Linked DNA regions of Coturnix japonica. The protein of the gene in region 1 binds, or shares a complex with, the protein of each later gene. Links are inferred from orthologs where the notes say so. Each region holds a gene or a part of one and is shown in the gene's direction. Other genes may lie near its edges.

What was found.
Region 2: the proteins of YWHAG (region 1) and CAMKK2 are in contact, whole or in part, in a crystal structure (PDB 6Y6B), measured with the Homo sapiens proteins. The link is inferred for Coturnix japonica from reciprocal best matches to the Homo sapiens genes YWHAG and CAMKK2. Residues at the interface, in NP_036611.2 of Homo sapiens: Ser46, Val47, Lys50, Asn51, Arg57, Arg132, Tyr133, Gly174, Leu177, Asn178, Val181, Glu185, Ile222, Leu225, Asn229, Trp233; in NP_001257414.1 of Homo sapiens: Leu99, Ser100, Leu101, Gln102, Glu103, Arg104.
Region 3: the proteins of YWHAG (region 1) and CASP2 are in contact, whole or in part, in a crystal structure (PDB 6S9K), measured with the Homo sapiens proteins. The link is inferred for Coturnix japonica from reciprocal best matches to the Homo sapiens genes YWHAG and CASP2. Residues at the interface, in NP_036611.2 of Homo sapiens: Glu15, Asn43, Val47, Arg57, Arg61, Lys125, Arg132, Tyr133, Pro170, Gly174, Leu177, Asn178, Val181, Glu185, Glu213, Asp214, Lys217, Asp218, Leu221, Ile222, Leu225, Asn229, Leu232, Trp233; in NP_116764.2 of Homo sapiens: Asp137, Leu138, Ser139, Leu140, Pro141, Phe142, Pro143, Val144, Cys145, Glu146, Leu150, Lys152, Lys153, Leu154, Ser157.
Region 4: the proteins of YWHAG (region 1) and HDAC4 are in contact, whole or in part, in a crystal structure (PDB 3UZD), measured with the Homo sapiens proteins. The link is inferred for Coturnix japonica from reciprocal best matches to the Homo sapiens genes YWHAG and HDAC4. Residues at the interface, in NP_036611.2 of Homo sapiens: Asn43, Leu44, Ser46, Val47, Lys50, Asn51, Arg57, Phe122, Lys125, Arg132, Tyr133, Gly174, Leu177, Asn178, Val181, Glu185, Leu221, Ile222, Leu225, Asn229, Trp233; in NP_001365345.1 of Homo sapiens: Ser348, Pro349, Ser350, Leu351, Pro352, Asn353, Ile354, Leu356.

What each region holds. Positions count from the first base shown.
Region 1 is NC_029534.1:3,142,822-3,147,168, forward strand, and holds the start of YWHAG (14-3-3 protein gamma), read left to right. Parts: upstream 1-1,480; 5' UTR 1,481-1,663; coding exon 1,664-1,750; intron 1,751-4,347. UniProt on the Homo sapiens protein: Adapter protein implicated in the regulation of a large spectrum of both general and specialized signaling pathways. Binds to a large number of partners, usually by recognition of a phosphoserine or phosphothreonine motif.
Region 2 is NC_029530.1:4,667,027-4,670,614, reverse strand, and holds part of CAMKK2 (calcium/calmodulin-dependent protein kinase kinase 2), read left to right. Parts: intron 1-285; 5' UTR 286-412; intron 413-759; 5' UTR 760-815; coding exon 816-1,202; intron 1,203-1,876; coding exon 1,877-1,924; intron 1,925-2,251; coding exon 2,252-2,305; intron 2,306-2,421; coding exon 2,422-2,473; intron 2,474-2,573; coding exon 2,574-2,707; intron 2,708-3,296; coding exon 3,297-3,333; intron 3,334-3,534; coding exon 3,535-3,556; intron 3,557-3,588. UniProt on the Homo sapiens protein: Calcium/calmodulin-dependent protein kinase belonging to a proposed calcium-triggered signaling cascade involved in a number of cellular processes. Isoform 1, isoform 2 and isoform 3 phosphorylate CAMK1 and CAMK4. Isoform 3 phosphorylates CAMK1D.
Region 3 is NC_029516.1:69,870,695-69,874,282, reverse strand, and holds part of CASP2 (caspase-2), read left to right. Parts: intron 1-999; coding exon 1,000-1,088; intron 1,089-2,411; coding exon 2,412-2,588; intron 2,589-3,588. UniProt on the Homo sapiens protein: Is a regulator of the cascade of caspases responsible for apoptosis execution. Might function by either activating some proteins required for cell death or inactivating proteins necessary for cell survival.
Region 4 is NC_029522.1:3,024,620-3,028,207, forward strand, and holds part of HDAC4 (histone deacetylase 4), read left to right. Parts: intron 1-961; coding exon 962-1,219; intron 1,220-2,568; coding exon 2,569-2,755; intron 2,756-3,588. UniProt on the Homo sapiens protein: Responsible for the deacetylation of lysine residues on the N-terminal part of the core histones (H2A, H2B, H3 and H4).

The sequences.
Region 1 (4,347 bases):
TTCCATCCTCCTCCTCCATCCTCACCTTCACCTGTACCTCCAGCCACCTCCATCCCAGCCACCCCACCTCTTTCCCATCCCTCTGACCCCAAGCTCTGTGTCCCCGCTTCCTTCATGCCCCCATGGGGCATCCTACATCACTGCAGGCCCTGTCCCAGCTGCTCAGAGCCAGTCCCAATTCATGAATGCCACCACCCCTATGACCCCGCATTCAGCTCAGGATGACAATTTGAAGCAGCCCTCAGTGAGTCTCCCAGTCAGAGAGGATTTACTGCCTTCCCTTGCGGTGTCAGAAGGCATTTGCAGCACATAGCAGGGAAGGGAAGAGAACGTGAGGAGGAGGACTTGTCTTCCAGGCCATGGGAATTAACAAAGTGGCACATCCAAGTGTTCCAGAGCTATTTTAAAGCTGCGGGTGGAATGAGGGTTATTGGGTTTTTCAGGGACATCTGCAGAACAGACCCACATCCTCTGGGTCTCTGTGAGTTCTCCTACAGGGATGGTGCACAGGGAATGCTGCAGCTCCATATTATGGCCACATTATTTACAGCGTGATGGATATCGCACCCTGACCTGAGGTGGGGAAGAATGTCATCCACGTTGTGAAAAGCACCGAGTGCTGCGGTGCACTGACAGCAATACATCAGCACTGTCTCAATCTGGATCAAACACACAGCCCCATAAATAGGATACAGTGACCAGTAGGGCCAGCCACAATTGTGAGGAGCATCAATTCTACCAGACCCAGGGATCCATGTGCTAAACCAACCTTCATACACACAGTGCTGCCCCAGGGCCAGGCTGCAGACCTGACCCATGGTGGTGGGCAGCCCTGGTGGGCCCAGATGGTGTTTCTAAACTACCTGAAATACCACAAGGGATGTCACCTTCTGTGCTTCTCTTATTCACTCCAATGTTATCCATGTTGATGGACGTGCCATTATCCAACAGAGCAATGGATGTACTAAATGGCTCCATGGGTTCTTTCAGCTCCCAGACCCCCTCACACAGCGCTCCCAGCACTGAGGGCAGGCTGCAGTCCATGGATCAGCACTGAGGTGCGCACACTGTATGGCAGCCATGTCAGTGCTGATGGCGGCCACATCTCCACAGGCAGCGGCCATATCTCCACGCAGGGCAGCGCTGTGTGCGTGCTGCAGGCCTTTCTGCCTGGTTTATAGGTTGGATGGGCGTTATGGAAGGTGTGGGGCTGCTGTGGGGGCTGTTGGGCCGCGCGGGCTGAGGGCGCTGCGGGCGGTGAATCAGCAGCGGGGCGGCGGGACTGAGGGGGCGGCCTGAGGGGCGGCCATCTTGTGGCGCGCGGCGGGAGGGGCTGTATCTCCGCGCGGGGCGCGCTGGGAAATGGAGTCCTAAGAGGGGAGCGGAGCAAGGAGGGATATTACGAGGAGGACTACGAATCCCGGCGTGCCCCGCGCGGGGGCGGAGCGGCGCAGGGCGGGGCGGGGCGGGGCCGCAGGGGGGTTGTGGTGGCCCGCGGCGCGCGCACAGCTCCGGGTGCAGCCGCCGCCGCCGCCGCCGTCACCGCCACAGCAGCGCCAGGAGCCGCCGCCTCCTCCTTCCTCCTCCTTCCTTCCTCCTCCTCTCTCCTCCTCCTCCTCCTCCCGCAGTCTCCGCGCCCTTTTCCCCTCCCGGCCCCGTGAAGATGGTGGACCGCGAGCAGCTGGTGCAGAAGGCCCGGCTGGCCGAGCAAGCCGAGCGCTACGACGACATGGCGGCCGCCATGAAGAACGTGAGTAGCCGTTCCCCTTCCCCCCCACGCTCCGTTCCCCGCCGTGTCCCCGCTCCGTCCCTTTGTGCCGATCCTCAGCCCCTCGTGCTGTGCCCTATATGTGTCCTTTATCCCTGCCCCCTTTCCCCCCGCTCTCTGTCCCCTCCATTCTACGCTGTGCCTCATTTATATGCCCCCACACCCCGCTATGATCCCCATCCCCTGCCTATTCCATCATATACTGTGTCGTATCTGTGTCCCGTTTCCTTCCCCATCCGCTATGGGCTCTGTCCTATTTGTACCTCCCACCCCCTTGCCCTGATCCCCATCCTTAACCCAGTCTGTGTTTCCCATCCCCCACCCCATCCCTTTGCTCTCCCGCTCTGTGCTGCGCCCCATCCGTGTTCTCTTATCCCTTACCCAATCCCCCATCCCTTGTCCCATCTACGTTGCCATGTTCCATTTGTGTCATCTCTGCCCCAAACCCTGTCTCCAGCCTCCATCTGTGTCCCCTCTGCTCCAAACCCACCCTGTACTCCACCCATTGTGCTGTGCACAAACTCCTATACCTTGCCTTAATCCGTGTCCCCTGACCCCCATTCCATTGCCCCCCACCGTGCCCCCTTTGCCATGTCCTGCTGTGGGAGCCACCCTTGGGGTGCAGCACTGCCCATGCTTCCCCCTCTCCCAGCCCTATGGGGTGAGGCTGTGGGGCTTTGCTGCCCCATTGGCCCCTTGTGCTGCCGCTCATCCCTTCCCCGGTGCGGCTGCCGTGTCCCTGACCCCATGGAGCTGAGCTTTTAGCTGCCAGGGCTCTGATTTATTCCATATCTTTTTTGCTGCACTTGTTTCGAGATTTATGAATTGAGTCATGTTGTATTCATTTCACGCTCTTAAAATAAAGACTCTGCATATAGCAGGCTGATCTGATTTGTGACACTGAACGCTCCCCTTCAATGCTGACATTTTGACAATGTAAGAAGTAAAAAAGAAGAAGAAGGGGGGAAAAAAAAGAAAAACCAACAAAACCAGCCCATATCTCTGATCTGATCTTGCAAACAAAGCAATCGTGGGAGGCAGGATCAAGTCATTCCAGAAGATTCTGCATTTGTCATATTGCAGAGAGGCTAGACTGGGTGGAGGGAGGGAGGGGGTGCTTTAAAGGGGAAAACTGTGCTTTATGTTTGTCTCCTTAGTCAGGTCTGAACCTTTAAGAGGAGCTGGGGTGTCCTCCCTTGCTGATGAGGAGGGAATGCTGATCTAGGAGTGTCGCAGTCTGCTGGATGCAGCCCTGTTGGCTGTGTTGCACCATTTTGACAATAACCTTGCGTTTATCAAGCAGACAAAAATCATCGCAGCCCCAGAGAGGGGAGGAGGGAGGAGATGTCTTTTCAAGAAATGAAATATGGATAATTGAAACCAGATAATAGCATATGAGAACAGCCGGGCTATTCCACTGCTGCCCTATGGATTTTATACTATTTTCCGATGGCGGCATCTATCCATTTTAAGGCAGTGCCTGCTGTGTGAGCAGCTCATTGCACATGGATGGTGCGGCCATTAGCACAAAGCCAGCAGGGATATGCCCATGGATTTAACACTGGGGTTTGTGGCCATATTTCTGCCCTGTGAATTTCTCTAGCTTGCATCCCAGGGATCTGAATCTAACCCGACGTTGTTGTTACAGATTATATTTGCATTTTTTCCCTTTAGTCCTCCCCGGCCCTGGTGAAACAGTAACCGGCTTTAATGCTGCTTATCAGCTCTCCACGTTGTTCGGCCCTAAGAAAATGACTCCCAGCGGGAGCGCCGCCGCCTCCCTCCCCAGCAGACAAAAGACACAGAGCTTTGTTCCTCATTTCAGTGCAGCGCTGCCCAAACTCCGGCTCGGTCCCACGGCACTGGGCATGTCACACTTGGTTATCCCTGATCCTCCCCATCCCCCAGCTCTGGCTGTGCAGCAGGCTTGTGACCTCGCACTCATTTCCGTAGCAACGCACGGTGATGTCATATGCGCTGCTGCGAGCTGCATTGCACCCAGGTGGTAGCAGAGAGCATGCAGGCTGCATCCACACAAGGTAATGCAGGAGCAGGGCTGCATCACGTCCTCCTGGGAGCAGCATGGCAATGCCTGCATTCAATGCCTGCATTCCCTGCACAAGGAGCTTGCTGTCTGCTTGCTTCCTGCACATGGTGCTGAGAAATACAAAGCTGCTTCCCTTGTGTCAGGTGTGCTCATTACCTGCATTAGAATTCGATTTTGCTGCAGCTTGATCTCATTGTTGAGTTTGTGGTTACCTGGTAGGTCGCTGCACAGCATCCAGCCGTGCTGTTTAGCTGCTTTGTTGCTGAACGGCTGTTGGTGATGCTGTTATATACAGAGAGCAGTCTGCTGGGGCTCTCATTGTCTGCTCAATCACCAAATGCTCCTCGCTGCAGCCATGGGCTGGGTCACAGTAGTTTCTCCTGTGTAAGTTTTAGCTGCAGGTTGTAGCCACAAGTGCCAGAGATCAGAGGGAGATGTTGCTGGGCTGTGAGCTGGCCTTGCACATGTGCAACCTTGACCACGTCCCTTGCATGCCCTGCATGCAGGGATGAGATCAGCCCTGTGCTGTGCC
Region 2 (3,588 bases), on another chromosome or scaffold:
CAATGCTGGGTCCTCAGCGCTGCCCCTGGGCTGGTTTGGGTTCTTATTGGGTTGCCCCTTTTGGGGTGCAGGAGGGAAGGGTGATGGCTTTGCTGTGGCATGGGCAGACCTGCTGGAGCCCTGCTCATGGATCAGGCTCACGGTGCTGCTGCCATCCACCAGCACATATGTTCAGTGTCAAGTATCCAGCATCACACAGGGATGGATTACAACCAACCAATTTCTTTTCCTTTAAAAGTACGTACATATCTGCTGCTTATACCATTGTTTTCCTTTTTATTCCAGGGTGCTAAAATCCCATTTTTGCAAAGGAGGCTGTAGGGAACTCGGGGCAAGCAGGAGAATCCCCAGTGAATGCTGTGCTGTGGGTGAAGGCAGTGAGCCCCAGGGCAGATCCCACAGCTCGTGCTTGGTAAGGGCTCAGTGCACCTCTTTCAGGGGCTGTTTGGCAAGATCTGCCCACTCTGTGCAGGGCAGCAGTGAACTGAGCAGTGTGTATACATACATAGTGCAGACCTGTGTAAAATACTGCAGCCCCAGCTGTGGGTTTCCTATAGGGGAGGTGGCTGGGATTCTATGTTCAGGGGTGAGCACAGTGATAGCAGTGCTGTTGAAGAGAGAGGACTCTGCTCAGTGCCACCCAGTTTCCTCCACTCTTACTAATATTTTACTTAATATTAGGTGAAGCCATTTATTACATGAATAATGTAATATTAGTGGCTTGCTTCATGTAGGATCCCCCTGACACTGTGCTTACAGGTGTCTGTACCCCTCGGAGCACTGACAGAGGCCGGGATGAGGCCGGCAACCTCACCATGCCATCCTGCATCCCCGGCAGCTCCCCTGCTGCCCCTCAGCCCCCACACCGCCACAGAGGGCCCGGGCTGCCGCTGAGTGCCGGCCACCCCACCATGGAGTCACTCATAGTGGTGACCGAGTGCGAGGCAACAGCAAGTGAGGAGGAGATGAGCGTGGCTGCTGTGGAGGAGAGCCGGGAGCCCAGGGCGAAGCTGAACCTCTCCGGCCGAAAGCTGTCCCTGCAGGAGCGCTCGCACCCCGCGCGCTCCCCTGGAAGTGGTGACAGCGAGCGCTTCATCTACCCATCCCTCCCCTACTCACCAGTGACATCCCCACACTCATCCCCGCGCCTGCCAAGGCGGCCGACAGTGGAATCCAACCGTGTCTCCATCACTGGGCTGCAGGTGAGGCTCTGCTCCTGTCTCCGTGTCTCGCTGCGCTGCTTCTTGCTTGGTGCTTTGGGATGGAGCCCTGTGGATAGTGGGAGGGTGTTGGTTCTGGTCCATCCCCAGCCATGGGGACAGCCCCATGTATAGCACAGAGCATCTCCCAGGGTTAATGCTGCGGTAGGAGTGCATGTTCTATATATCCCAAATGCTACCAGCTCTGGAAAATGTGCTTCGTGAGAGTAGAGCAGCTGGAAGTCACAGCCTGTCCATGCTTAACATGTATCCGCGTGTGGTCAGATTCACTTCTTTAGCTCCATGAAGGAAATGGAGATTTTGTTTGTTTGTTTGTTTTCCCCTTGAAAAGGAAGAGACCTCAGTAAAGCTTTAAGGGGATAATTGCACTGCCCACCACAGCCTTCTCAGCACCCACAGAATGCAGGCAGTGAACATCTGCAGGACAAAACAAAAACATTTGGTGCTGGGTGAGCATTAAGCCCCCAGGTGCCAGTTGCCACTGCTGCCCTTGGTGCTCTCATTTTGCATGAGCAGACAGTGCTGCCTGCCTGGTGCTCAACGCCAGTAATTAGCTGTCTATAAAAACAAGGCGGTGTGTGGCTACGTGTGGTTTATTGCTAACAAACTCTGGCCCGAGGCCTGGGCTGCTGGCTGACTCGCCTTCTCTCCCTCAGGACTGTGTCCAGCTCAACCAGTACAAGCTGAAGGATGAGATTGGGAAGGTGAATATTCTCCGGCTTTGGGGTTGGAGTGGGAATTTGGGGTGGGAATGTGCTGGATTCGCTCTTGCTTTTAAATCTTACATCAGTTGTGAGGTCAGCCCTTCACCATGGCATCTCCATTGGCTCCTCAGCGTGATGCCCATTGATTCATTTTTTAAATTAGCATTATTTTTCCCCTTTCCAACAAAATAGGGTATCTGAGCCTTTTCTTTGCCAGTCCAAGGGCACTATGCTCCCCACTGACCCCCTGCTTCGCCTGGGGTATGAAGAGGAGCCTGCCTGGTGCTGGAGTGTTTTTTGGTTGGTCACCCACGTGTCCCTCTCTAGGGCTCCTATGGGGTGGTGAAGCTGGCCTACAATGAGGATGACAACACCTACTATGTGAGTAGTGCTGCTGCCCACAGCATGTGCTGGGATTGGGATAGGGACAGGGATGGGTCTGCCTATGGCTCCCGGGGTGTTTTTTTTCCAAACCCCACCAATTTTCCCCTGTGTAGGCAATGAAGGTTCTCTCCAAGAAGAAGCTGATGAGGCAGGCAGGCTTCCCCCGTAAGTGGCACCCAGTGGTGTGACAGCTCCGGGATGGGTGGTATCTTGGGAGCAGAAGGGACTTGGTGCCATGCCCACCCTATTTTTGCCTTTCCTGTAGGCCGCCCTCCACCCCGTGGGGCCAAAGGTGCCTCAGAGGGCTGCCTGCAGCGCCGGGGCCCCATCGAGCAGGTTTACCAGGAGATTGCCATCCTGAAGAAGCTGGACCACCCCAACGTGGTGAAGCTCGTGGAGGTGAGCACAGAATCACAGAATCACAGTGACAGTCCTGTTGATGTCTTCCTTACCATAGAAGGACTTTTCTTGCCTCCTCTCACCTTTTCATTTCTGCTTGGAAATAGAAAAGCAGAAATATTTCACTTCTCTTGAGGACACAGATCAGATCTGGGGAGGAAATGGTGTTCCTGTGAGTTCTGCAGCCACGCTGCCCACCACCCAATGACAGCCTGAAAAGGTCCAGGGGAAACGAAAATTAGGAATTAAGGACGTGCAGGCTGGGATTCATTTGCCTTATGAGTCAGATGACGCTTCCTGTGTGTCTGAAATATTTATTTCCAACAACATCTTTCCTCTTATTTATCCCCCACCTTGTGGGCAGAAGCTGAGATTAGCAGAGCAAACCCACATGGTTTTAAGTTAAAATGTCACGAGTAGGACCTGAGGGTGGGCAGGCGCTCACAACCTGCCAACATCTCCCTCCTTAACTCCCTGAACCCCTGGGGGGAAAAACTGGGCAGCCTGATGAACAATCAACAAATGACAGCGTTTCTTTTGTGAGGCAGCTTCTTGCAGTGTTCCATTTCTTCTCTGCATCCTTTGGCAGGTGCTGGATGACCCCAGTGAGGACCACCTGTACATGGGTAAGTGCCCGCAGGTGCTGTTGGTGTGGGTTCCCACTGCGTTTTGGGGCAGCTGCATATGGGCCTGGGTCTCCACGGGTTTATTTTAATGTATTACTTTCATGAATTCATCATTAAAATTGTTGTTTTGGTGCTGGGACCGTGCTTGCAGGAGCTCACACCTGTATGTAGTCAGTAATCACCATTCCCTTTCTGTTTCAGTGTTCGAACTGGTGAAACAAGGGTGAGTTTCCCCACTGTGGACTTGGTGCTGCC
Region 3 (3,588 bases), on another chromosome or scaffold:
AAATGGATAGATGTATCTTCCATTGAATTCAGCAAATCAGCTTTATCTGCAAGCATTTGTGATATGGGTTAGGGAGTTGGTTGTTGGAATGAATCTCCTTATTAGTTTTTATGTTATCTTTGGTAACACCTGGACAGTACTCATTTACCTTAACCACATCTTTAGCGTTGTGCTGCTTACTACTATTAGCTCTGTCTGGTATTAAAGATCACATGTATAGGTTCAAAAACCTTTTTTGGTTGTTGGTTGCTTTTTTAGGTATGAAGGTTATAGGTTTTTTAGAGACCATGTGTTTCTCCAGCTGGAAGAAATGCTCAAAATGCCTAAAAAGGATTTCAAAAGAGACCATGAATGTTATTAACTCAGTTTCTGCAGCACAAGGGATTGAGCATCACATCTCTTAATGTTAATTAATTGATTCTCATTCACCTTGACTGCTCCTGACCAGAAATAAGAGTTGTTCAGCGACGAACAACACAAAAAGAGCATTATACTTTACGGAAGTTAGAAATATCTAGTTTCATCACTAATGTTGAGCATAAAAGGAGATCTGGAATTGTATACAGTGAGAATGGAAATCTTTTATGAATGGAAAAGCACTACTCTATTTGAATGTTTCTAGTAATAGTTCCACGGCATAACTGGCGAATGGATGTACAAAAAGGCAGAAAAGCACTCCTCTAATTTTCAATATGCGTTCTGTTTTTATACTCAATAAAACTAAATTTTCTAGGCTTTATGTTACTCTACAAAATGGGCAGAAAATTATAATCTGTTGCCAATTAGAAATATATTGGAAAGGTGTATTTTTATATTCGTTTTTTGATTGTATGTATGATGTCCTTGATCAAGAAGAACATTCAGACGTACGAGTTGTATAAGACATGAATATGCCTTAGACTACATACTTATGAATTTGCAAATAACTACCTTAATACAAAGGGTTTGTAGCTAGAATTTTTAAAATTATATTTATATTTTTCTTTTGCACAAAACCAGTGGAACATTCTTTGGACAGTGGAGATGGACCTCCGATTCCTCCAGTGAAGCACTGTACTCCAGAATTCTATCGTGATCACCAGCACTTAGTAAGTAGTTAATAGAGAAAATCTCCTTCACAGGTGAAATATTTAGATATTTCAACTGATAGACACTACCTACAACTGAGTAAAAGCAAATAATTCATTATAGGTACATGTTAGTGTTTTGGCATTTATGTATGACTTTACAAATAAATACAATATTAGAACTATTTTTCAGCTCACAGGCACAATCCTGGCTCTTTTAATTGTCTGCTGTATCAGGAAATGTCTCCTTAGGTGCAGAAATAAGATCAGGATTCTGTGCAGTAGTGAGCAGAAGAAGCTGAATTTCTAATCCTTTTATTTATCTTCTGAAGTTATGTAGATAGTCATAATTATTTTTCTGTTTGTTCCATTTGTAAAGCATAGGTTGTGGTGCTGTAGGCTCAAAGAAAATAAAGAATTTTTTGTGATAGTGCAGTCATGTTAGTAGGATTACACTACAACTTAATTCTTAACTCATCTGTAACAGGCTCTGCATTCAGTAAAACATTTTCCATGTGTTGGGTTTGTTTGTTTGTTTTTTTTGTAACTGTTAGGAGACCTAATTTGCCAACATCAGCATGAGTCTAGCTTAATTTCTTTTTATATCTGTGTCTGGTTACACAGTATTTGATATGCTTCTTCAATATTAAATTTCACTTCCAATTCACGGGGATGTTATTACCAATTTATTATTAGTTTTTCGTTGGTAGAGTGGAAGGGGCAAAGTGGTTTTGAAGACACACTTCTTACATTAGTTTTTTTCCCTATTAACTTTTCTTGTCATCCTCATTACTTTGAAGATCAGTGATTTATTGATGCCTGCTGCTGCAGTTGCACTCACTCACAGGCTGGTTTATATTTCTTCTTACTCCCAACCACAATTAGGAAATGTAAGCTGAATTTTGTGTAATGTTTTCCTAGGACCTTTGGTGAGTATTACAAAAAACTTGTTTGGCCCTAATGGGGTATGTGTGGAAGGAGAAAAGCATGAGCAAGAGCTAACTCTCAATTTGAAATGCTGAATATGTCTTCCTTATAAAACAGGAAATAAGGCAAGCTATTACAACATCCTGTTAATAGTGTTGTAGGATCATTGATTGTGGAAGTTTGCAGAAACAGTTGCCTTTGAGATCTTTTGCAATATAAACATTTGCTGTATTAAAATAAAAAACAACAAAACAACAAACCAATACATATTTTACCTCTTCTGTTTTTGTGCCTTCTCAAGCTAGAAATCCTACATGTCATTAGTAATTAAGTTGGTGTATGGGGACTGGTGTTATACACAGACTCTGTTATTTCCTCACATAGTCTAAATGTACCAATTTTGAATCTTCTTCTCAGGCATACAAGCTGACATCAGAGCCCCGAGGCTTAGCACTTATTCTCAGCAATATCCATTTCAACAGTGAAAAGGACTTGGAGTATCGTTCAGGTGGAGATGTGGACTGTGCTTCCCTAGAACTGCTTTTCAAGCATCTTGGATATCGAGTGACTGTCTTTCATGATCAAAGTGCAGAGGTAAGGTGAATCCTACTACCACATTTGAGCCGGTATGGCTGAGTGGAATGGTGAGATGGAAATGGTCACTTATAAATAGAAAATGTGCCACAGCTTACCAAAAAAACACAAAGAAGCTTGAAAAGCAAAGAACGCTTGACATAAAGTAGGGTCACAAAGGACCAGAAGAGATACTAGTCTATACTAACCCCTCATAGTAGATGGGGTAAGATCTAGAACATACCTGGCATGTGTGTTAAAGCTGCAAATGAACAGGCTCCAGTTAATCCAGATAGCCTTTTAAAGTATTTTACTATTCTAAATGTTATTCTTTACAAATTTGACCTAGTTTTTGCAAATTTAAGTTTTCTTATCCTTTAACTGTTGGAGCAATTTTCACTCTTTCAGTCTGCTTTGCTAGAGAAGTGGCTGTGCTTTCCTTAAGAAAATTGATATTTTATGACTGACTGAATTAAGGCATTCTTTTTTTCTCTAGGTATGCACTTGCTGCCTTTTCCAACTTCATTTGCTCTTATTCCCTCTAAATCACTGTGAAACCAAGTGATACAAAACCTGCTAAAAAGTGTTTTATTCAAGCAGGCAACTTTCACTACATTATGATAAGGCTTTCAGTGTCTGAAGTACCAGTGTAAGCATCTGTTAAAGTGCTTCAATATCCCAGCCAAACTCCAGTGTTAGTATAAAACCTCTGTAAAGCAGTAGTTGCTGTCTCCTTTGTTAAATCCACATATGCCAACTCCAATATTTGTTGTGTCCCCCACCATTGACCAATATGGAAGAAGTCACAGAATCACATAGTCACCAAGGTTGGAAGAGACCTCCAAGATCATCAAGTCTAACTGTCCTCCTACCACCAATATTTCTACACCAAGCCATGTTCTGTAGTACAATACCTAAAACCTCCAGGTATGGTGGCTCCACCAGCTCCCTGGACAGCCCATTCCAGTGCCTGACTGCTCTTTCAGAGAAGAAATTTTTCCTAATACCCAACCTGAACCTC
Region 4 (3,588 bases), on another chromosome or scaffold:
CAGCAATCTGCAAGTGCTATTAAGTTCTAGCCCTGCATCCTCATCCTTACAGTGCACCAATGATAAGGGAAGTTCTGAACCCCAGTTCTGAGACACCCTCTGTTGTAGTTATAAACAGTTTCTTGTTGTCCTTAGTGTGATACTTTCAGGCGATTAATCCTTAATGTGGCTTTTTTATGCCTAAATCTTCTTTGAATAGATTTGCTGAAGTTATATGGCAAAGCTTCTCTTCTTACATTTAGGGAGAAAGGCTTATTTTCAGATTTGAGTCACTGATCTTCAAAGAGTGAGTTACTTTTAAGTAGTCACTCCTGCATGTGTTCAATAACTGTGTTTTGATTTAGCTTTATTAGATTTAAAATCAATATTGCTTTTCATACCAATGACCTAATCCCTATTAAAGCTCTGCCCTGACAAGCTTTCAAAGTTCAGCCTTTTTTTTTTATAAGCTTATGAAACGAGTACAGTCTGAACTGTTTAAAAGAAAGGACATTAATCTATTTACCTTTGCTAGGTTTAAAAATAGTACACATACATTTTTGCTCCAAATAAAAGTCATGAGCGCTTTGGGACCAGAATTTCACCTCATTGATCTATTTGCAAAAGGCTTAAAGCCTGTTGAATTACAGTGAAAATTACATTGTTCCCTCTGTTTTAGCAGGCACGTTTGGAGAAGCTCGCTACCTCTTGTTAGGAAGGTCTGGTTAGAATGATGCTCTTCTTGCAGTTGGTTTCTGTAAAGGTGCTGTAAGTTTAGTGTCTTCAGGATGTAGTATTTCCTTGATAGCACTTAATGTTGAGACTAAACTGACCTTTCTGTTGTTTTAGACCTTGTTTATAATGTAGGAGCTGTAGGTCATGATCTCTCTTTTCATGAAGCTGGCTTTTTCAGGAGAGCACAGTCAACTTGACCTGCAGTGAGTTAAATGTTACTATCAATTAACCTCCTGGATGTTTACAGATAATATCAAAACCCAATGAGCCAGCTCGCCAGCATGAAAGCCACCCGGAGGAGACAGAAGAAGAGCTTCGAGAACACCAAGCCCTTTTGGAGGAGCCATACAGCGACAGAGTCTCAAGCCAAAAGGATGTCCCAGGGCTGGCTAATGTGGTGCAGGTAAAGCAAGAACCCATCGAGAGCGATGAGGAGGAAGTTGAGCCGCAGCAGGAGCTGGAGTCTGGGCAGAGGCAGGCTGAGCAGGAGCTGCTTTTCCGCCAGGTAAGCTCCTGTAGTTGAGTTGTTTAATGGCATCTGGAGGGACAGGTTCAATCTATGTATGATGTGGATGAAAGTCAAGATGATAACCAGCCTCACCTCACAGATACTTACATCTGCTAGGAGTGGGTGTCAGAAATTACTGCTGGTTACAACTGACCCTAAAAAATAGCTTCAAGATTTTCCCAGCCTTTGAACGGTGGGTTGTAATCATCATATTGGGACCAAGCTTCCCTTTTGGTGTAGAGAATGGAAAGGTTAGTGCTAAATTAGTTGGACATATGTGGCTTGTGCTTGCAGACATGTCCCTAAGAGTAGCTGCATGCAGACTACAGAAGGACAGGACTTGATGTTTGTAAGAGGACAGAGGGAGGTGTGAAAAAGCCTTGCAAGAAAGCAGTGCAATTGTTTTACAAAGTAAATCCTCATATTATCACAGCGACCATCTGGGACTTGGCTTTTTGTGACTACCCTCAACATCTTCTGAGCACTGAATACTAGCAGAGAACGCGCTCATGCAAGGCATCCTAGCAGAGGAGTTTGTTTTGTAACTCTTACATTCTAGAACAAATTAACAACTGCAGAGAAGGGCTGGATAAGGGTTGGAGTGTCAAAGGGGTTTTTTTGGAGGGGATTCCTTCTTCAGCAATGCAAATCCCTGGCATCACAGGTTTGCTCCATTTTGATGGGAAAGACCAGAGGCACTAAATCCAGTAACCATGTAGCGTAGCCTTACCTCCCAATTACATGGCAGTCTCCCAGAAAACACTGTTTGTGGTAGCATTAATGAGTGAGAAAGTTACAATTCTCTGGAGGGACCTGAAGTGCTGAGCTTGTCTTTGCAGCCCTTCGTGCCTGACTGTATCTTGAGCCTCGTGTAACCCCTGCACAGCCCTTGCAGCCAAAAACAGATTGCTGAAGCACTGCCAGCGTGTTGCTCTCAGAGTAAATCCACAGCCCTTGGCTAGGGAAGGCAGACTGGTGCCAAGCTTGCTGTTGCAATGTCTGAATCAGGTGCAAATTGCTTGCTCCGCATAGACATTTGCATTGTGCTGCTTGCTGCTGTCTCCCTGGCACTGCGGGGCTGGCTTGTGGGCCCCACATGTCACTGCCTGCAGCTCAGAGACATCTCCAGTCCCAAATTGAGGAGCACTGTCTTCATAACGATGCTGCCTTGAGGGGTTGATACCACTGCCAACCGTGCTTGTGCAAAGCAATTTCCTAGATTTATGCAATCACATGTAGGCCTCATTTCTCTAGTAAGAATAAATAAACATGATGTGAGACATGCTGCCGATGCCGGACCTTTTGTGAGGCTACCTTTGGTAGCTACCTGCTTCTCTTCCCCACAGCAAGCCCTCCTGTTGGAGCAGCAGCGCATTCACCAGCTGAGAAACTACCAGGCATCGCTGGAGGCAGCTGGCATGCCCGTCTCCTTTGGAGGCCATCGGCCCCTGTCCCGTGCACAGTCCTCACCCGCCTCGGCTACCTTCCCTATGTCCGTACAGGAGCCACCCACTAAGCCAAGGTTCACTACAGGTAATGTTGGAGGGCACTGGAAACCAATCAGTGGGGCTTTGATTGCTGTTCTGCTTCACGTTGTGTTTTTCTGCCCCATGTCCCTGCAAGGCCGTCTGTCTAAGGGCTGAGTCTCAGCTGTCTGTGGGCTCCATAATATCCTGTTGTCTTTGAGGATGTGATTGGTCATCCTAAGGGACCTTGAGGGACAGACACCCTGTAGTCCAGACAGAAAATAGTCTGCAAAAATCAATAGAAATATAGCATAGTACTTTAATTATGTATCTCCAAAAAAATAGAGGACAAGCCATACACTGTGACAAGGCTGATTTAGATGCAAGGAGGAGAGATGCAGTGTTATTGAAAAAGGACGGCGTGCCAAATGCAGTATCTGTCAGCTGTATTTTCTGCACCTTCTCCAGTCCCTGCATAATCTCATGCCATAAGTTATCCAGTTCAGGCTTTGTGCCAGACTGCCCCTCCTTCCACAGCACTCTGCCTGGGAGTCTGTGCCTGTGGGTTAGGAGAAGTGAGGTTGAGTTGGTCAATCCAAGATGTCACTGTGGAGAAACAGAATGAAGAGCGTTTTCATAACTGTTCGGTCTTCATCTCCAAACAAAAATGACGAGTGCAATTCTGTACTTGTCTCACAAGAATCCGAAATGCAAAAAAGAAGCTGTTAGTCTCCCCAGAAAGATTTGAGATGTAAATCAGGGAGGGCTTACGAGTGCCTTTTTTCCCATCAAAATCTATTCTGTCTGTTCATAAGAGATAAAAGTAAATCATGTGCAATTTGTTGGGGGTCCACATTAGGTAATTAGGTGACCTTATTTTGAAGGTTCTGCCTTCTTCCC